Linked DNA regions of Caenorhabditis elegans. The protein of the gene in region 3 interacts with the protein of the main gene of each other region in a pairwise test. Each region holds a gene or a part of one and is shown on either strand. Other genes may lie near its edges. The genes, in order: oaz-1, tald-1, zyg-8 and F30H5.3.

What was found.
Region 1: the proteins of zyg-8 (region 3) and oaz-1 interact in a two-hybrid assay, tested with the Caenorhabditis elegans proteins (one large-scale study listed by BioGRID).
Region 2: the proteins of zyg-8 (region 3) and tald-1 interact in a two-hybrid assay, tested with the Caenorhabditis elegans proteins (one large-scale study listed by BioGRID).
Region 4: the proteins of zyg-8 (region 3) and F30H5.3 interact in a two-hybrid assay, tested with the Caenorhabditis elegans proteins (one large-scale study listed by BioGRID).

What each region holds. Positions count from the first base shown.
Region 1 is NC_003279.8:6,091,774-6,094,971, reverse strand, and holds oaz-1 (Ornithine decarboxylase antizyme), read right to left. Parts: upstream 1,666-3,198; 5' UTR 1,627-1,665; coding exon 1,556-1,626; intron 1,505-1,555; coding exon 1,447-1,504; coding exon of another isoform or gene 1,256-1,446; intron 1,142-1,255; coding exon of another isoform or gene 981-1,141; 3' UTR 535-980; downstream 1-534. UniProt on the Caenorhabditis elegans protein: Ornithine decarboxylase (ODC) antizyme protein that negatively regulates ODC activity and intracellular polyamine biosynthesis and uptake in response to increased intracellular polyamine levels.
Region 2 is NC_003282.8:4,384,731-4,389,406, reverse strand, and holds tald-1 (Transaldolase), read right to left. Parts: upstream 2,757-4,676; 5' UTR 2,750-2,756; coding exon 2,686-2,749; intron 1,975-2,685; coding exon 1,611-1,974; intron 1,226-1,610; coding exon 852-1,225; intron 800-851; coding exon 642-799; 3' UTR 527-641; downstream 1-526. Other genes in the region: rpl-7A (Large ribosomal subunit protein eL8), read left to right, coding at 1-8, 63-231; F55F10.1 (Midasin), read right to left, coding at 3,156-3,287.
Region 3 is NC_003281.10:12,059,830-12,064,719, reverse strand, and holds the start of zyg-8 (Serine/threonine-protein kinase zyg-8), read right to left. Parts: upstream 3,008-4,890; 5' UTR 2,982-3,007; coding exon 2,795-2,981; intron 1,796-2,794; coding exon 889-1,795; intron 1-888. UniProt on the Caenorhabditis elegans protein: Probable kinase. Kinase activity may be involved in positioning of spindle poles in meiosis and mitosis. Plays a role in spindle positioning during asymmetric division of one-cell stage embryos.
Region 4 is NC_003281.10:506,183-514,088, reverse strand, and holds the start of F30H5.3 (BPTI/Kunitz inhibitor domain-containing protein), read left to right. Parts: upstream 1-1,871; 5' UTR 1,872-2,171; coding exon 2,172-2,205; intron 2,206-3,121; exon of another isoform or gene 3,122-3,213; intron 3,214-3,255; coding exon 3,256-3,397; intron 3,398-3,454; coding exon 3,455-3,533; intron 3,534-3,586; coding exon 3,587-3,703; intron 3,704-3,751; coding exon 3,752-4,029; intron 4,030-4,178; coding exon 4,179-5,130; intron 5,131-5,212; coding exon 5,213-5,288; intron 5,289-5,409; coding exon 5,410-7,906. Other genes in the region: T22F7.3 (BPTI/Kunitz inhibitor domain-containing protein), read left to right, coding at 165-214.

The DNA.
Region 1 (3,198 bases), on a different chromosome or scaffold from region 3:
TAAAATTGTTGGACCCAAGAGGCCTTTTGAAGTTCTCGTCTCGAAACTCAAACAGAGAGTTTCACCAGGCTGATTTTTCTAAAACACAAAAAAATCGCTAACTTTTTTTTGTTTTGCGATATTTTATTTTACCATGCTGGTCTAGTGGTATTCCCAGACGCAAAAATTGTTTGTTATTAAATGTAAGAGTGTGCGCCTTTAAAGAGTACTGTATTATCAAACTCTCGTTTCTGCCTAATTTTCATTGATTATAGTTTTTCTCATGCTTCCAAGCTTTTTCTAAAAATAGTTTTTTTTTGTTGATAAATTGATAGTATAGCAAAACTATGGAAAAAATATGAAAATTCCGGAGCAACCTAAGCTTGCACGTACAGTACTCCTTAAAGGCGCACACTTTCAAATTTAAGAAAATTGATCATGTCGAGACCCGCTAGTGTATTTTTGCTTCGTACTTTTGTAAGATAGTCTCAAAATTTCGCATTTGCGTAATCGACCTAACGATACCCAATTCATGATGGGCGGAGCATTTTGAACATTTCTCTACAAAATCGTTTTTTTTTTGACAATTTATTCGTTTCTCCAAAAAAGCTGGCGCGTGGACAGAAAAGTGGTGGGAAAGGAGGGATTAATTTAAAGAATGTTTTAAAAAAAAGAGAATTTCTCAGGAAGCATCGGTCACTAATATCTCTTAGAAACAGGAATGAGCTGGTTGTGGATGGGAGTGGGTGTGGTGGGCAAAAATAATCAGAGAAATAGCCAAAAAGGATTTTTTCTGGAAAATTAAAGAATTTGTACACTACATGAACACAGAGATTTAGAGAATTATACTAGAGAATTCTTGAAGGAGGAAATTTTTTGAAAGTTTTTAAAGTGCATTTTTTCGAGGGGTTGGTATAGAAAAAGGTGAGAGAAAGAAAAATAACATTTTTAAAAGCGGCGAGAAATCGATAAAACGAAAAGAAATTGGTGAGATGAATCCATTAGACCTTGTAGCTCATGATGAAGTATTTTTCAGCTGGGAGATGAACTGGATGCTCGTCGATGGCATATGGACGGAATCCGACGTAACGAAGAGTACGTGGGAATCCTTCCGTTGGGTTAATACGAGCCTTCTCAAATACAGCCAAAACACGCTCCATTTCTGTAATAAAAAAGTTTACAAACATTTCTCAGGGAATATAACTTTTTAACAGGATTTCTCCGTTTAAAAACACAACTTTGTAGAAAATCTAGAAATGGTTGAAATAGAACTCACCGAGTTTGTCTTCAGCGAACTCCAAGAGGTCCACAAAGTTCTTCTTAGAGATGCCGAGCACCGGTTGATCGTGTGGAATCATGATCGCCAATGTCTTTTCGCCAATCGATGTCACGCGCCAGTTTGGAGAAACGGCCGATACGATAGCGCGAGTTTCGTTCGGCAATTTGGTGAGCACGCCATGGGGGGCGTCAAAAACACCATCCGACGTCGCCGGGCTGGGTCGAGCATGGGGAGGCGGTCAACGAGCTGAAAAATCGAAATATTATTGTTTAAACTGCCTTCACATTGTATTCTCACCTGTCGACGGCAGACTCGTTGACCAATTGATTCGATTTATTCGTAAAATTACTACTCAAAATACTCGACATCTTGTCTCTCTTGATAGGTACGAAGCGGGTGGTGGGAAACTGAAATTAAGAAGAATTAGATCGATTTAAAAGCAAAGTGAACGAGTGGGCGAGGGCGAGGAAGCATAACGGAAATACAAATTAATATAGTTGTGGTGATCAGAAATTATTCCAGAGAACTGATTCGTATCCCAGATGTTTAAAAATTGATTTTAACCAATCTCAACATTTACGGTGTCCTATAATCAAATATGCTAGAAATAAATTAGAATAATTCGATTAGTTTATGCCAAAGATTAAAGCATGTCAGAAGAGATTTTTGATTCGTTCAATTATTTGATTTACTTCGTGGCTTTTAAATAGAAATTAGAGGCTTTTGATTCTTAAAAGCGTAAAATGTTGTATTGATGTCAAAGAAGATCTATAGAACAGACATAGTAATGAACTGTCTTATATTTCTGTGTTATTAACCTCTAAAGTAAATTGTCACAAGACATACAGAACGAACATTGAGTGAACACAAAGAAGCATGTGACCAGGCGATAAATGAAGTGCGAGGCGGAGGAACAGAGGGACATAAAGATTGCGAGACGACAGAGAAACGCTCTTTCTGGCTCAATGGCTTGCTGGCGCCATTTTGAATGAATATATGTGACGTGCACATCGCAGATCTTTGAAAGTCATATGGTAATGACGAAATGGGTCGTTACAAAAGTGAAAGTAGGGATGATTATTTCTTATTGCACATTTCAAAATCAGATCCAAATAGAAATCGTAAACCCTGTGGGACTCGATTATCAGTTCTGCTCAATTGCCATGATACAAATAATTGGTATACTCACGCCATTAGGATACTTTTCCGAAAATACCTTTTTTCTAACGGAAATTTTTAATCAGAACTGGAGCTAACATAATATTACCAGACAAACAGCGCCTTGTGATATCGAAAGTAATTATTAATCAAAACATTTGCGCCTAAAAAAGGAGAGATCAATAGAATCAATGAGTGGATTTAGTAATGTAAAACTAGAAACTACTCTATATTAAAATCGATTTCGACAACAAAGAATAGAAAATCATATGACTTCACTACAGCTTATTGAGGCAAAATGAAGGTGAAACAGTGAAGATAGAGAAGAAGGAGAACAAGATCGATCGACGTGTAAACAGTGAATCGAATGATTTGGATGCCTTATCTATTGTGGACCGAGAATGTTCCCGGAAAGATAACAGTGTCATAAGACTTGCTCTTCGCCTATTTTATTGCGAAATAATTATTGATTTTCGATAGATGATTTGCAGACCTAATTTAGATTGTGATCAGATAAGAAAAACTTTTAAGTTTATGTGAGCATAGGAATATTAATGATTTGAGTAAGTTTTAAGAGAAACCAGAAACCAGAAATAAAAATTAAATTATTACGAAATCATTCAACAAATTACGACAGTATACCAACCAATTATCAAAGATTGAGTACGTAGTTCCTTTCTTTTCAAGTACTAATGATACAGAGAAAACCAGAAAAGGGAGTCGTTATCAAGGAGAACTATTGGCACGTTTCACTGCTTTTAAGCGCTGACGGAGAGAACAGA
Region 2 (4,676 bases), on a different chromosome or scaffold from region 3:
GTCAACCCGTAAGTTTCAGATTCTATAGTTTCTTGAGCAAATAATTATTTCTTTGTATTCAGAGAGGACAAATCTGCCTTGAACAAGCTCGTCGAGACCGTCAACAACAACTTCAGCGAGCGTCACGAGGAGATCCGCAAGCACTGGGGAGGAGGTGTCATGTCCGCCAAGTCTGATGCCAAGAAGCTCAAGATCGAGCGCGCTCGTGCCCGTGATCTTGGAAAGCTCTAAATTGTTTTTGTTGATAATAAAAACTTGTTATTCAAAGCTTGTATCTTTTTCAATAATTGGTAGTCTTCGTGGTACTCATTTGGATCGGTCTTGTTGGATATTGTTGAGAACAGTTTTCCCGAGAAGTGTCTCCCTAGTTCGTCGTTGTCTTGGAGCTTGCTGGTTGTCTGCGATATGGTTTCACTGAACAATTCTAGTTGGGTTCAATTCCGGGTGTCACAGCCACAACTGTCCAGAAACTTGCAGAGTGCGATAAGAGTTCGGCTATTTTGTGTATCTTGCCTTTACAGTGCTCTTTAAATTACATAAGGGTTCATTAAAATACGTAACGAAATATTTAAGGGGAAATCACAACACTGATGAAATTGGGGAAAACTAGTAAGCACGACAAATACATCAATCAATACAATTTAGATCTTTGCCTCGATAAGCTTCTCCAGAGTTCTGGCGTCTTTGGCAAAGTTGCGGATTCCTTCGGCGAGCTTCTCGGTGGCCATGGCGTCCTCGTTGAGAGCCCATCTGAACGCCTTCTCGTCAATGCTCACTTTCGGCAGGTCGAGTGTCTTGGCTGGAAAATAATTAAAAATTGCAATTTTTAATTGATTAAATCTCCCGCTCACCATGAGAAGTGGAGAGCACAACTGGAGCAAGTTCCGTCTCCGCAGCAAGTTGCTTCAGAAGAGCCGGAGAAATAGTAAGAAGATCACATCCAACAAGTCCCTTGATCTCTTCAGTATTACGGAACGAGGCAGCCATCACTTGTGTCTTATAGTCGTATTTCTTGTAATAATTAAAGATTCGAGTAACACTGACAACTCCTGGATCGTCTTTTCGAGTGTAGGCCTTCTGATCGGTATTCTTCACGAACCAATCCATGATTCTTCCGACGAATGGCGAGATTAGGGTGACTCCTGACTCGGCACACGCGACTGCTTGCTCAAAGTTGAAGAGCAGTGTCATGTTGCAGTGGATTCCGTGCTTAGATTCGAGGAATCTGAAAATTTAATTTTTTGCTGATTTTGAACTATTTCCGTTATAATTAATGCCTTAAACTCTTTTGAAAAATGTCAATTTGGGTCCAATTGAGTAGATTTTCAGTAGAAAACTAATAGAAACGAGACTTTGTATGTTTCGAAAAGGTATGTCCGTAGATTTTAGGTGATTTACAAGAAAAATCGAAGCATTTCTAGTTTTTAATTTAAAATGTGTTAATTTTTAACAATTTCATCTTGTATAATTCGTTTTTTAATTGATTTTTTCGAAACTAGTAGTGTTTTAAACCAAGCAAATCATCAAAAATGGGTAAAATTTCATCAAGTTTGATTTTTAAAAAAAAGTTTTTTAACTGAAAAGTTTTCCTAAAATCTCCAATGCCGTACTTAGCAGCCCGAATTCCTTCCCAAGTTGAAGCAAGTTTGATAAGAATCCGATCCTTCGAGATTCCTTCCTTCTCGTATTGAGCAATAAGTCCAAGAGCCCGATCAATCGATGCTTGAGTATCAAATGAAAGACGAGCATCAACTTCTGTGGAAACTCTTCCTGGAATAGTTTTCAGGATTTCTTTTCCAAAAACTACAAAAAGTCGATCCATAGCCGCTTGGAGCACTTCTTGATGTCCACTGGCGTGCTCTTTTGCGTAGGCAACTGATTGATCGATTAATGCTGCGTATTGCTCCATTTTTGAGGCGGCCAGGATGAGCGATGGGTTGGTAGTTGCATCTGTTGGCTGGAATTCCTTGATCGCTGAAAAAAATCGATTTTTTGAGAACAATTTTTGAAAAAAGTACTTTTTTCAACTGGAAAATTCGAGTTTTATTTTTCGATTTTTGACTTTTTACACAAAATCGAGGAAAAAAACAAAGGTGTGCGCCTTTAAGACTTACAGTAACCCATTTCCTGATTTTTTAAATTAATTTTTCACGCTTTTCATCTAAATTCTTGAGAGAAAACGTTGAAAAATGAAAAAAAAAACGAAATTGAAGGAACGTCTGGGTACTGTACTTTTGAAAGGCGCAAACACATTTTTTTCAAAATAAATATTTTTCACCAGTATTTACAAAAATTTAGAAAAAAGAGAATTCATCGAATTATCCAAAAAAAGTTTTTCACAGCTTTTTTTGGAATTTTTGAAAAATTCTAATTTTTAAATGGCACATTCCAGAAATTTACAATACTTCCATAAAATTTAATAGTATTTATTTTTAAAATGTTTTAACGAATTTTTTGGAAACTTCTTGAAAATATGTATTTTTTTCTCTAAAAAAATTAATTTAAAAAGTTCAAAAAGTCAGATTTCTATCTGAAAATCGAGAAATTTACTGTTTTTTACATTATAACAGTGGTCTTCCTAGAAAAATCGAATTTTCAGATAATTTAATTTTTTTTCAAAACTGCCAAAAAAAATCAATTATTCACCACATTTTCGAACTTTTTCTTAATGTTCAAAATTTTTACCATTAAAATCTCCAGTATCCGCAACAACGACTGATGCTCCTTTGAGTTGTTCCAAAACCGACATGATTTCCCTAGAAAAAGTCAAAAAAAAATCAATAATCGTGAAAATTACGGGAAAAATCGCGTGAGAGAGATCGAATGGAAAGTGCAGCCCATTGATAGCATCAAAGATAACAAAAACCGTATCAAAAAAATTTCAAATTTTTAATAGATATAATGATAATGATAATTCGACTAACCAATGTGAAAACAATGAACAATGAACAAAAAATAACAAAAAAGGGGGAAAATTTCAAAAAAAAAGTAACAACTCATAAAAAAATGACGATAAAAGGAGTAGGGAAGTGAGAAAAACAGTTTTCGAAAAAAAGTAACAAAAATGATGATAAAAAGGTATAAAGTAAAGTAGTAACAAAAAAACAAGAATATGACTAAATGTGTGTAGTTTGCAGTCTGTAGTTTGTAGCCTCTCAACTATGATGTGTCGTCGTCATTTCGAACCATTGACGAATCGATTCGGCAATCACCGATGGTAGTTGTTGAACTGATTTGACGAGAGCGTAGAATGGGAACGGGAACAGGGCGAGGTATGGCGTGAGTACCTGCAGGAAAAATTGGAAATTGTCAGCAGTTTTATGGGGGCAAATGGCAAGAGAATCGGGGGGTTTTCGAGAAAAAAAAGAAAGTAAATATTGTTCTTTGTAGTCAAATATGATCAAATTTCACACATTTTTTTGGGAATTTTAACACGAAAAAAAGGAAAAATCTTCAAAAATTGGAAAATTTATTGAGTTTTGAAATTTATTTGCGAAATTCCTTTCGAATATTTTGACCTAGTTTCAATTTTTTGTTTCATTTTTTAAATATTATTTTAAACACAATTTCTCACATTTTCAGACAGTTTTCCGCAAAAAATTATTTAAAAATGTGAAATTATCGATTTTTAGGTCAAAATTGAAGCGAAAATCGTCAAAATGCCAAAAAAGTCTACTGAAATTTAAATTTCAGACCTAAAAATATACAAATAATCGGCCATAGAAGACTGAAATAACGAAAAAAAAACTTTTGTAATTTTAAAAGCAAATTTTTGCTGAAAATCCTATAATTACCGTAACCTCGGCGTTTGTTCAATATCGAGAATGGAAAATTACCAGTTTTTAAAAAATTAAAATTAAAAAAAACGTTTTTTGTAGTCAAATATGATCAAATTTCACACATTTTTTGGGTATTTTAAATGAGCGGCAATTCTAGAAAATGGTCTGTTGCACCATGTTGTTCCAACATTTTTACAACTTGAAATTAGTTTAAAAATATGAAAAATCACTCGATTTATTTGAAAATAACATTAATTTCAGCTGAAGCCTTCGAGAAAATGCCCAGAAATGGCTTGAAAGTTGACTAATTTCGGCAATTGTCAACTTTCTGGCCTTTTTTGAGCAATTTCTCAAATTTTCAGTCGAATAAATGTCATTTTCAGATAAATCAACTAATTTTCTATACTTTGACACTAATTTTGGAGGAAAATGTTGAAAATGCATGGTGCTACGTCACCTCGAAAACAATTTTTTTTTCAGAGTGTAACTTCAAATAAAATGGAAAATGTATATTTTTTTAATTGGATTTTTCTTTAAAAAATACCCATAATAATCTAAAACTGGGATATTTTTGAAAAAAAACATATTTCCAGTCAAAAATAGCAGATTTCAACTGAAATCGTCTGATTTTGAAATTTTAAACATGCCAATTACAAGTTTTGGGTGAAAATGTTGATTTTTTAAACCAAAATTGGCAAATTTTCACTAAATTGCCCCGATTTCTAGCTAAAAAAATCCTGGAATGTTGAAAATGTGATTTTTTGAATGAAAATTTGCGAAATTCTATCTGAATCAATTTTTAGAAAATTTTCGGGTTAAAAAAATCGATTTTTCAATTTTATTCGATTTATTAGTTTTTTAAAAATTAAATCGTTCAAAATAACATCTGAAAAATTT
Region 3 (4,890 bases):
AAGTGGGCGGGGAGTTCTCTTTTTGGAGGGAATATAACCGAATTTTCACCAACCAATCAGCGCCTTCGAACTCCGCCCACTCCATCTGATTGGTTGGAAAGTGGGCGGAGCTAATCGCTGATTGGTCGCAGTGTAAATTGGGTTTTTGTGTTTTTTTTGGGAAAAAATTCGAAAAAAAAACAAAAAACACCGATTTTTTCCAATTTTAGACAAATTCCCACTGCGACCAATCAGCGATTTGCTCCGCCCATTTTTCAACCAATCAGATGAAGTGGGGGGGGGGGGGGGGGGGGGGTTTCGAAGGCGCTGATTGGTCGGGTAAAGTTTCATTTTGGAGGGAATTCAAAATTGATTGTTTTTTTCGCTTTTTTCCTATTTTCGTAATGAAAAAAAATTTTTTTTTTGTAAGTTGCGACGGTTCAACATTTTTAAGAAAAAAGACAAAAAATTCAAAAAAAATCTGCGACCAATCAGCGATTAGCTCCGCCCACTTTTGAACCAATCTGAAGAAGTGGGCGGGAGTTCTCGTTTAGGCATCTTCAAACTCCGCCCACCTCACCTGATTGGGCGAAAAATGGGCGGAGCGAATTGCTGATTGGTCGCAGAAAAATTCGAATTTTTCGTTCTTTCGCATATTTTTTTTTTGAATTTTTTGTCTTTTTCATTCAAAATTTTGAATCGCCGCCACTTTTTTTGGTTGAAAAATAATTTTTTTTTCCTTAGGAAAATAGGAAAAACGCGAAAAAAACAATCATTTTTGAATTCCCTTCAAAATGAGACTTCACCCGACCAATCAACACCTTCGAACTCCACCCACGTCGCCTGATTGGTTGGAAAGTGGGCGGCGGAGCGAATCGCTGATTGGTCGGGGCGATTTTTTGCTCTCACCTCGCCGTCTTCTTGTTCAACAAATGCCTACTAATCCGCCTTGGCTTCACCCCATTCCGAATAACCTTGATAATTCGTGGAAACACGAAATCCGTATTCTCATGACACGGCTCTACGACACTCAACGCCAGCTTCTTCGTCTCCAAGTGTCGATTGTATCGATTGGCAAGTGTCAGACGCCAACTTGGCTCGGCGGCTCTCGAATAATCGACCGGTTTGAAAGCGTCGGTACTCGAACACACATAACCACCGCCGTCTTCGAATTGATCTACGGAAGTGATGCGTTGAGCGCCGTCGATCGTGAAAATGTGACGGATTCCGTGTGGAAGAGCCGTCGAGTCACAGATTACAGTTTTCATCAAATCTTCCATAAGTGGTTGCATACTCTTCACCCGGTCACTTTGTAAAGCATACTGAATCCCTTTGAAATATTGATCCCCATTTCTATAGAACCGGAGTCGCTTGGCTTTCAGTAAATGCGGATACCCGGATGGCCCGATTCGACACCTCCGCTGCATTTCTGAGACCATATCCCTGGACTCTGCGAGCTCATCTCCATTCGTTCCCTCGGTTTCCATGGCACATACGGATGACGTCATTGACGCTTCCGCAGTGTTCGTGCCACTATTCGGCATGCTTCCCTGGGAAATTGCCGTTGGGAAGACGCTTGTCTGATTGAGATTAAGAGTCGATGCTCGTGGAGTTGTCAGTGTTTCTTCACTGATCACTGCGGTCTGATTGTGATGAATATGATGGTGGAAGTGTTGTTGAGGAAGATGCGAGAATCGACGATGTGCGGAGGATGTTGATGGAGCAGATGATGATGGACTGATCTTTCTATGAACAACTGGAGATGATGATGATGTCAAGACTGCGGAGAGAGGACGTGTCGAATGAGGGAGATGGGCTGGAAATTAGGATTATATTACACGGGAACACAAAAAAATATTTAACGCGCAAAATATCTCGTAGCGAAAAGAAAACTACAGTAATTCTTTATATGACTACTGTAGTGTAGATTTACAGGATCTCGATTCTTTAGATTCAATTATTTTCGAATAGTGATAACGATCAAGGGTGTCGGTTTTTTCGATTTTTGAAAATCGAAAAATCGATATTTCGAAATTTTTTCGATTTTTTAAAAATTCGCTTAAACTTTGATCATTGTTCTTATTTTTAGATGTTCTTTATCATGAATATATAAACAAAATTAGATTTTTAAAAAATCATATCTTATGGGTAATTTTCTGAATTTCGGAAAATAGAAAAATCGAAAATTTTAGGGGCCGCTTTTTCCGGCAAATCGGCCAATTTGCGGAAAATTTAAAATCCGGCAACTTTCCGATTTGCCGGAAAATTTAGGGGCCATTTTTTTCCGGCAAATCCGGCAATTTGTCGATTTGCCGGAAAAATCGTTTTCAACAGTCTGACGGTATTAATCATTTTTTAATAGCTTTTTACAAATAAAAATGTCTCTTTTTTCAAGTTTTCAACTCAGTACTATTGAAATTAAACAATCTATCCGTGAATTTTGCAAAAAAGCAGCATCGCACCGAAAAAGAGGCGGAGTGTAATTTCGTAATTTCGCAACCTTGCGGCACGGTTTTTTCTCTATTTTTTATTTGTCTTTTTTCGAATGAAAGTATTACCCAATTTACTTATTATTAGATTGTGAGGATATTTCATGGTTGTAAAAAAAATGAAATTAATCGAAAAAAAAAATTCAGAAAAAAAGGAGAAAAAACCGTGCCGCAGGGTTGCAAAATTACGCTCCGCCTCTTTTTCTGTGCGACGCTGCTTTTTTGTTGCAAAATTCACGGATTCATCATTAAAAAAAACCATATCCCGTAAGCTGAAGCAAGCAAGCCACCAACGGGGAAATTCAAGCCAAACACTCAATTCTTACGTCGTTTGAATCGTGGAATATTCGACGTTTTTCCAGCAGCGGAAACCCTCTTCGATACACGTGGCAATGTGTTGGCTCCATTCATAGATGCTCCATCCGATCCTCCAGCTTCAGATCCAGGTGGTGGTGGTGGTGGTGGTGGTCTAGCAGTTGTGTCGTTGAGCTGCCACGCCGACGTTTGTGGCATCGTTCGAGTAGAGATAGTCTAACACCGAAAAAAAACACCAAATTAGCGATAGTTAGGCGCAACCACGAGAGGAGGACGGAGCGGTGTCAGGCCGTCCCATTACGGTTTGATCTACCAAAAATGCGGGAGATGAGACGCAGATTTCTCAGCTGATTTAGCATCGAATGAGAGTGTACTGACGTCACATTTTCCTGGGGGAAAGTTCCCGCATTTTTTGTAGATCAAACCGCAATGAGACTGCCTGACACCACGTGGGGATATACCACGTGGCAACAGGCCGTCCCATTACGGTTTGATCTACCAAAAATGCGGGAATTTTTGGCCCAAAAAATGTGACGTCAGCACGTTCTTAACCATGCGAAATCAATTGAGAAATTTGTGTCTTTTCTCCCGCATTTTTTGTAGATCAAACCGGAATGGGCCTTGGATATGAAAAAGAGAAAGGAATGCAAAATCAAAAGATTGGACAGAAAATGAACTAAAAATCGAGGAGGACAATTCCAATCGGGTATGGTGCAAGTGCTATAGACGGGAATTAATCTTTTTTTTTGTTATTTTAGAAAAACAATTTTTTTTTCTGAAAAAAAAGTGGAAAATTCAAATTTTTTTGAGATTTTCTGAGCAAAATTAAAGTTTTCTGGGAAAAAAAATTTTTGTCGGGGATTCAAATTTTCCGAAAAAAAATTTGGCGGGAAATTTAAAAATTTTAGAATTTTTTGGCGGGAATTCAAATTTTCGGAGAAAATATCTATTTTGGCGGGAGATTCAAATTTTCTGTGAAACAACTATTTCGTCGGAAAATTCAATTTTTTTTCGAGAAAAAAAACCTATTTAGGCGGGAAATTCAAAATTTTTTTAATTTTTTTTTGGCGGGAAATTCAAATTTTCGGAAAATATCTATTTTGGCGGGAAATTCAAATTTTCCGAAAAAAAAATTTGGCGGGAAATTTTTTTTTATTTTTTCGAATTTGTTTTGGCGAGGATTCAAATTTTCTCTTAAAATAATTTTGGCGGGAAATTCAAATTTTCTGAGAAATTTTTTTTTTCGATTTTTTAAAGATTTTTGAAGCAAAATTTCCATCAGGCTGTCCCATAACGGATTGATCTACAAAAAATGCGGGAATTTTTCGCCCAAAGAAATGTGACGTCAGCACGTTCTTAACCATGCGAAATCAGTTGAGAACTCTGCCGCATTTTTTGTAGATCTAGGTAGATCAAACCGAAATGAGACGCCACGTGACACCAAAAAAAAGGAGATAATTTTACTATGCTATGACTAGCTGACAATTCGAATCATTGTCCAAAATGAGCTGTCCGCGAGCATTGGTCTCCAAAATGCATGGAATGTCGAATGTGGGAATTAACTAGGCGTGCACACAGAGAGCAGTGAGCAGTGAGCTGCTTCTCGTTTTCCTCTCATTCGAAAGAGCTAAAGGGCAGACGGGTGTTGTTGTGGGTTGATTTGGCTGACGGGAGGGGCGCGCGCGAGCCAACGCAGAGCCGGGGGACGGAATAGACGAGGGATTAGTTAGGGGGTATCCGGAGGGACCACAGAGCCAATTAAACAGCTTCTCATTTGTGCAGCGCCACCTGCGTCTCCGCCGAAAAAGGTGCGGTTTGTGATAAGAATATTACACGGATTTCTGGCTTCCCTCCATAAATTGAAATGGAAGAGTTTTTTGCCGAACTAGGCCAGGCCAAATCTGGGGTAGATTTACGTTGCGTTGCGTGTCGCGTCGCGGCTCGATTGTAAAACTAAATGTATTTGTCCGTGTGGAGTACACGACTTTCCCACGCGTTGTCCGGCAGGCGATTGTCAATGGAGCGCGAAAAATTCAATGAGGAAGGCCAGAAGCCCGTGATACTGAAGGTGAGGTAGTGTGAATGGGGATTTTACTTCAAAAAATAG
Region 4 (7,906 bases), about 12 Mb from region 3:
CAGCATTGGAGAAAGTTCGGAATTACTGCAAAAGTTCAGAAATAACAAAAATTAGCATTTTTAGTCAAATCTTGACTTAAAAAATAATTTTTTCACAACGGGGTTTCTGAAGATTAACAATCGACAACGATTTTTCTCCAAATCCCCAACTTTTCTTATTTCAGAACCACAATGCCCATGGTATGCTCCGTGCGCTGCTCAACGAAGGCGATAGATTCTGTTACTCTTTCCCCAGTTGTCTTTTTTAATTCTCCCGAGGTATACACCTTGTCTCGTTACGGTTATTTTTCTTTTTCTTCTTTCCCCCGTCTCTTTGTTGCTCCGGAGATGTTCTATAACAAAAATTCTAAATAAAGAAACTCTCAATTTAATCCACTGCAATTCCAATTCAACTCCCCCCGCCTTCCTAAAAACAGTCGTTAGCCACCCAAAACAAACAGTCGGAACAAAAAAAGCGGCGCACCGGTGCTGCGCGTGTTTTTCATCAGGTCATGATTTGCTCGCGGAGAGAGGTGAGACCGGCGAAAAAGTTCACTCTTTTTGGAGTTCCGCGCCGCGCGTGATCTTATCATTGTGAGCGCGCGCGAGAGCCCCGATTAGAAGAGAAGCGGTGTTGGTTTGTACAATATTTGAACCAGCGCCGCCGCCACCAACATTAAACATACAGTAAAACATACATATGTTTGGTGCGAAGATCAGTTTCTCTTGACGTACACTTTATAATGAGATAGGATGGATGCCCGCGCGGATCAGAGGAAACTGGGCCAAGTATGCTACACAAAAATACACTAAACCTCGGGTGTTAAGGATGTCAGAAAGTGTTTCTGTGCAGTAGCGGGCTGAAATCACAGGATCATCCTGCTGGATACTCAAGAAGACGGTTACTTTCAAAATTTTTGCGAATTGCAAAAAACCATTTTCGAAGCGGTGATTTTTCACGAAAATCAGTTTCGCAAATCCTAAGGTATTCGTGGAAATTTTTTGTAGAAATTAAAAAAAAAGAAACTTATGATGTCAGCTCATAATTCAAGTTCGGAATCAGCTCATAATTCAAGTTTCACGAAAACCAAAAAGCTCAGTGATCTTTTTCGAGAATCTTACCCCTTAAAATTTTTACCGATTTTTCTGAATTTCAAACGTACTTAGTCTTGCGCTGTTCCACTCCACTTTGACTTTTCATACCTTTGGTAATCTTCACGCTACGTGGCAACAGTATGAAAAACAGAGACTTCTCATGAAGACGAAGAAATTGTGAAATGAATGAAAATTTAAACTAGTGTTCAATATGGCCCATGGTACTAATGAGTAAGGCTACACGTCATATCCAAAAAAATATCGTGAACTGATAAGTTATCAAACTATAGAAGACGATATAACGAATATCTTGGCAGTTGACAATTCTTGAGAAATCCAATGACAACATAGATGTAGGTTGTCAACATTGGAAATATCTAGCATTTTTTATAGAGCTAGTACAAGTTTAGTTGAACACAGATTTTTCATATATTATGCATACATATCGCACATGTTTCTGGGGACTTTTACTAATTTATCTTATCAGATGTGTTTTTTAACCCGCTATTCAAAGAAAATTAGAGAATGCGAGTATGACTACTGAGAGTGTGAAAACCGAAGCTCAATGATATCATACAAAATTCCGAAATGCCGATCATAAGCCCCTATCATGCTCCGTATACAATGTACCAGGCTCAATTACGATGTTGCTCTCTCTCCCCTCCCCACCGCTCTCAACATGTAAATCGCATTACACGAGTGACCCGAACTGTATTCTCGAACGAGAATCTTGCGAAACCGCGGGTAAACAACACCAAGAGAAACCCCTCCTCTCTTGGCTCTGCGAGCACACAAATATAGTGACCCCTCCCTCGCTCCCTCCCCTGACCTTGACCAGCAGACTCAGCTCAACACAAAAGCCATTCGATTGCAACTCGTCTTGGATTCGAACCACCCCGCACCATCATCATCAGAAGGCAATCAAAGAATTATCTGATTATTTTCGTATGATTTTCAATCAATAACAAAAGAGCCATTTCATATATCCAGGTCTCTATCACATTTCCAAATTGCCCTTCTTTATTGTATTCAATTACTCATTTTGAACACTCATTATATAATAATCACAAACATCAATCAATTGATATTCCGCAGCAATGCGTAACTGGTTTATTTTACTCCTGCTTGCAGGTAAGCTTTTTCTTTTTTGCCGGATTTTTTTATGGTTGCTTTGAAAACTTTTGAATCAAATTCTTTAACATAAGCAATACTTTAATTCAAATTTTTAGAGTTTGAATTCTGCTACTTGACACTTGGACTTTTTCTTGCTAGCAATATGAACTTGAAAGTTTTCTTCAAATTTTGATTCAATTTACGAGGGTTAGCACAATACTTAAACTCAGAAATATCAGCATAAAGTTCTTGAAACTATTTTAACATATATATTTTTATAAAAATATAATTTTTGCAAACTTAGTTGTCGGAGAAGAACTTATAAAACTAAGAATGTGTTCCTACAAGTCTAGCCTAAAGAGCTCTAACCCTAAAAATGAGTAGTTTCACCACTGTAGGTTTTTGACCCTTATTTATTATACAAAAAGTATGCTGTGAGTCGGTAGTTTTTATGGAATTTTTTTGAAAATTTGACTTTTACCTCAAAACCCCACTCAAAAACAGCAAGCCATCTCTTTTTTACTCTTGAAAACTTAAAACGTCAAAATTTCTATCACTACCTAAAAATCAAAGCACGATTCTATTCTCAGAATTGTTCAAAATAAATCTAGTCTTTAAATATTCGTTCTAGCCCAAGATTTTGCATTAAACTGGCCTATGCCTTTACGAAATCAGCACTAACATGAATTTTAAAGCTTCCTGGGGGTCTTAGGTGCTTCACAACTGCCAGACCCAGACCATCAAAACACCCATCAGGTCACAAGTCCAATTAAATTCTATTTTTAGAGCACCAGACTAGAGAGTTCAACTTGCATAATACCTTTTTCGTGTTTCTAGTGCTCTCTCTCTCTATCGCCGCGCCGCGTTCCAAAACAAATCCAAGCACATACAATAAAATTGGCAAACATTGTGTGGGGGGTTCTCAGTGTCTGAGATTCGATTCGCCGCAAATATGGCGGCGGCGGCGTGACTGTTGCCCGATTTGGGTTAAAGCGGCCGCGAGCGCAGACGATCGTGCCTTGAGGATTGGGAGCAGGTGGTGACGAATAGTAAAACTTTTTGTTTCAGGAGGCACATATGCAGTCGAGCAGAAGCCGATTTGCAGGATAGGCGATGGTTGTGACACGTCCGGATGTCGGATACCGACTGAAGGTGATAAGTGTGATGAGGAGATGACTATTGATTCCATCTATTGCGATCTTGCCACAAAGTAAGACCACTTTTGAATAAGGAAGCTGTTACTAAACACGACTTTTTCTAATTTCAGCAAGACCGACACTCACGAGAACGCGTTCCTTATCTGCAATCTTGTCAAGAAGGAAATCGAACGAAAGATTTGTCCGAAAGTATAAAATCTATTCCAGTTGTTGAATAATCTTAACAAATTCTCAATTTTTAGAGCCAATTCTTCATTGACGGAAAGTGCCGAACTGGCAATGTTCGGTACAAGCGGCAAGGAGTTGCCGGATCCGGAAGAGTTGGAGATTTTTGCAGCTTCAACACCGATTGCTTGACTGTAAGTGGATTTTGAACTTCTTCGAGATTCTAAAATTCAAATTTCCAGGGAATGTTCTGCTCCACAGGATCTTGCACATGCCTCTCGAACTTCGTCGCCATCCAAGGATACTGCTACCTGAAGAAGAATCCAGGAGAGTCTGGATGTCAGTACGCCGAGCAGTGCTCCGCAGTATGGCCAGAGTCGCGGTGCGAAAAGTCGAGATGCGAGTGCCCGGAGGATGTGAATGGAATTCCATATGTTCAGGCCAAGACCAGGGACGGAGTCGTTTGTGTTCTTCATTCCGGAGAAGACGGAGATCCGGTGCCAAAGTGCCCACTTCCAGAGTGAGTTTTTATTCAGTGGGAGCTATTTTGTGACTTCAAGCTTCAGCCTAAACCTAAGCCTGAACCAAAGCCAAGCCTCATAGTCAGTCTGATACTGAGTCACAACCTAACTAGCTACCTTCTTATCGTTAATTTCCAACTTCTTCTAGATACGACGATGATCTCCTCACAATGCCAGTGTCCCAACTTCGCAACCCTCACATGACCGATCCAGACGATGCTGACATTCAAATGGGCGAGCACATCAACCCACTTCAATTCTGCTCCTCTCAATCCACCGACTATACCACCTTCATCGCCAACGGAGGAGGTGCGTGTGCTTACGCGACCGATGCTAACAACGCTCAGGAAGGAGATGGTATCTATATCGCTGATATCTATGATTGTGTCACCTCCACGACATCAATGGCCAACGTTAAGACTGCAATGGAAGGAGTTTATGACATTCATCCAGCCTCCGATGGTATCTGCTGTCCTAACAGAGCCTTCACCTGCATCCAACCAAAGAGAGAAGCTGATAGTGGAAGTTCGGCGCCAGCAGGAGTCCGTCCAAGATGGTGGTACAACGCTGTCACTGGCACCTGCGAACAATTCATGTGGGACCCATGGGATGAGACCGAGATGCAATCACCAAACAACTTCAAGACTCGTGAGCACTGTGAATCCTATTGTAGAGACACTTGTAAGCGTGGATCCCCACAATACCTCACCGGATCCGCTCAGAATGAGGATGAAGTCGTCAGCAACTGCCAGACGGCCTCTTCCTGCACATCTAACTTCGAGTGCACTTCCATTGGATCCATGCAGCTCTGCTGCCCAACTGTCGCCAGCGTCTGCTCCAACACCGGAGGCCGTCCAGTCGACTTGGTCCGATCCACCAACTTTGACGCCGGTATGTTGATGAAGCGCAGCTTCTCCATGACCTTCTCCACGAGCTCGCGATACTATTACGACGCGGAGCAGGGAAGATGCATCGCGTTCACCTACAACGGAGCACTCGGAAACTACAACAATTTCAAGTCGTCAGCTGATTGCGAGTTGTTCTGCGCCAAATTGCAATGCAAATACGGAACTCCACTCAAGATTGGGTCATCTAATCAGGTATGTGCAGTGTAAATAACACCGGGGGTACCGGAGGTTTCGCGAGTTCGAATTCGTATTTCGAGAAAAATGAAATTTTCAGAGATGCTCCGCCAGTGCCGACTGTCCAAGTACCCACGAGTGCCAGTCAGATCACAATGTCTGCTGTCCAAGACCTCGTAAGTTTTAGAGTTTTAAATTTTTTACTCAGTTTACTCAGTCCTAGGCTAAGATTGCAATACGACCTAGACCTATCATCAGTTCCTCAGCCCACTAAAAACCTCAAAACATTAATTCCAGAAGCCATCTGCTCCCAACCCCTCCGCCTCGGAGACTGCAAGCAATCCGTCCGCCGTTACTGGTACAACGCAGTTACCCGTGCCTGTGAGATCTTCGACTACACCGGCTGCCAAGGAAACGATAACAACTTCGAGACCCTGTTGGAGTGCCAGAACACTTGCGAGAACATTATTCCAGAGCCACAGTGCCCACAAGGAGACGCCTACAAGGATTACCAAGGAAACTACTACGTCTGCTCCAACTCTGGAGCTGGAAACTCTTGCCCAGTCAACTATGAATGCTATTTCGACGGATACGTGTGGGGATGCTGCCCGACCAAGGCCTACACCTGTACCCTTTCCCCACATAAGGGAGTCACCTGCGGATCTGGATCTTCTTACAGATACTATTACAACTCTCAGACCCAAGAATGTGAATCCTACCAGTACAATGGATGTGACGGAAACTCCAACAACTTTGCTACGCGCGAGGATTGTGAAGGATACTGTGGAGTCGGAGGATGTCCAAATGGTGGAACTCCAGAACGCAACGAGTTCGGTCAGCTTATGGTCTGCTCGACCACCCAGGTGTGCCCAGGAACCCACGAGTGTACGTCTGTAAACTCTGGAAGCTCAGTTGTCAACCGTTGTTGCCCAACTCGTGCCTACATCTGCTCTCTTCCACCACAACAAGGATCCTCCTGCAGCTCATCCGCCGCTGCTCGATTCTACTTCAATATTGTCACCAAGGAGTGCACCCAGTTCACCTACAACGGATGCTCCGGAAATCTCAACAATTTCGCCACCCTCGAGCAATGTAACAACTTCTGCCTTTCAGCTGCCTGTACCCCTGGAGATGTAGCCTACGTGAACCCCAACACAAATATGCCATATGAGTGCAATGCAGCTCTATCCAACAGTTGCCCAACCAACTTCGCTTGTACCTACGATCAGCTGTCCTCCAACTCTGTTTGCTGTGGAGCCACCAACATGGATGTCTGCCCAGAAGGCGAGAAGGCTTACGTCAACGCTGCCGATATGGGAGTCCGCGAGTGTCTGATCAATGTGGAGGGATCCTGCCCGAGCAACTATCTCTGCAGATTCAACGCCATGAAGAACAGATACTACTGCTGTGCCTCGATCACAGGAGATCTCTGCCCATCTGGAAAGGCTCTTTACAAGGAACCAAGCTCCAAGGCCCCGATTCGTTGTACCATCAGCAGCAACAACAACCAATGCCCAACCGGGTACACCTGTCAGTCCGATGTTCCAGGCGCTTTCCAAGGATACTGCTGCTCTGGAAACCATCTCTGTCCAAACAAGGCCGAGTTCTACTTGGAAGAATCCTCCCAGATGCCAAGATCCTGCACAGTTGGAGCATTCATCACTTGTCCAAATGGTTACTCCTGTCAATCCACCCAAAACGAGTTCACCACCGGATTCTGTTGTAAGGGAGAGGTCGCTTCTGTCTCTGATGGTTGCCCACCTAATGAGTATGTGTTCATGAAGGACAACCAGATTGCCCCATGTGATCCATTTAACCCACCGAATGCTCCATGTCCAAATGGATACTCCTGCCAATGGTCGTTGGCTAACCAGAGATACCAATGCTGTGGAGCCACACCAATCACCACACCAAAGTCGATCGCTGCTCTCGGATGCCCGAACAACCAGGTCGCATTCCGCGAGAAGGCATCAAATGCTCCAAGAATCTGCACAGCCGCCTCTCAGAACTGCCCAACAGGGTTCTTCTGCCAATTCTCCACCGCTAACAATCAATTCCAATGCTGTGGAATGTCGGGAGGATGTCCAAATGATTCAGTTGCCTTCATCGGAATCACCGGAGAACCACAATCTTGCGCAATTGGTCAGAGCACTTGCCCATCCGGATATTCTTGCCAGAGAGCCATCTCAGGAGCACAACTCTGTTGTACCACAAACGACGAGCCAGTCGGACCAACAACTCCTACCAAGGGCTGCACCGAAAAACAAGTTGAGGTTGAGGGAGCCTGTCTCGATAAGAAATCTCTCGGAGACATCTGCAGTAACCAAGTTCAGTGCCCAACTGGAAGTCTCTGCAAGGAATCTGTGTGCTCTTGTCCAGAAGGACATCACGAACTCAACGGAGTTTGTCTCCCAGACTGTGGACCAAACGAAGTCGAGGTCGCCGGAAAGTGTGTTGCTAAATCCCTTATCGGAGAGGCTTGCGAAGCTGATGAACAGTGCCAAGGTGGATCTTCATGCCTTGACGCTACCTGCACCTGCCCAGAAGGCGAAGAGGCTGTCGAGGATGTTTGCATGAAGAAGATGTCGCGACCAATGTCGACTTGCCCAATTCCAGGACAGATTCCATTCCTCGAGTTGAGAACTAAAGCCGCCAGATTCTGTACTCCATCCCGTCCAAATTGTCCACGTGGATTCAGCTGTCAATTCTCTCAAACCGCTCAACAGAACATCTGCTGTGGAGGTGGGAAGGCGTCAGCAATCGTCGCCGAGAAGAAATCCGGAAAGCCAAGCAC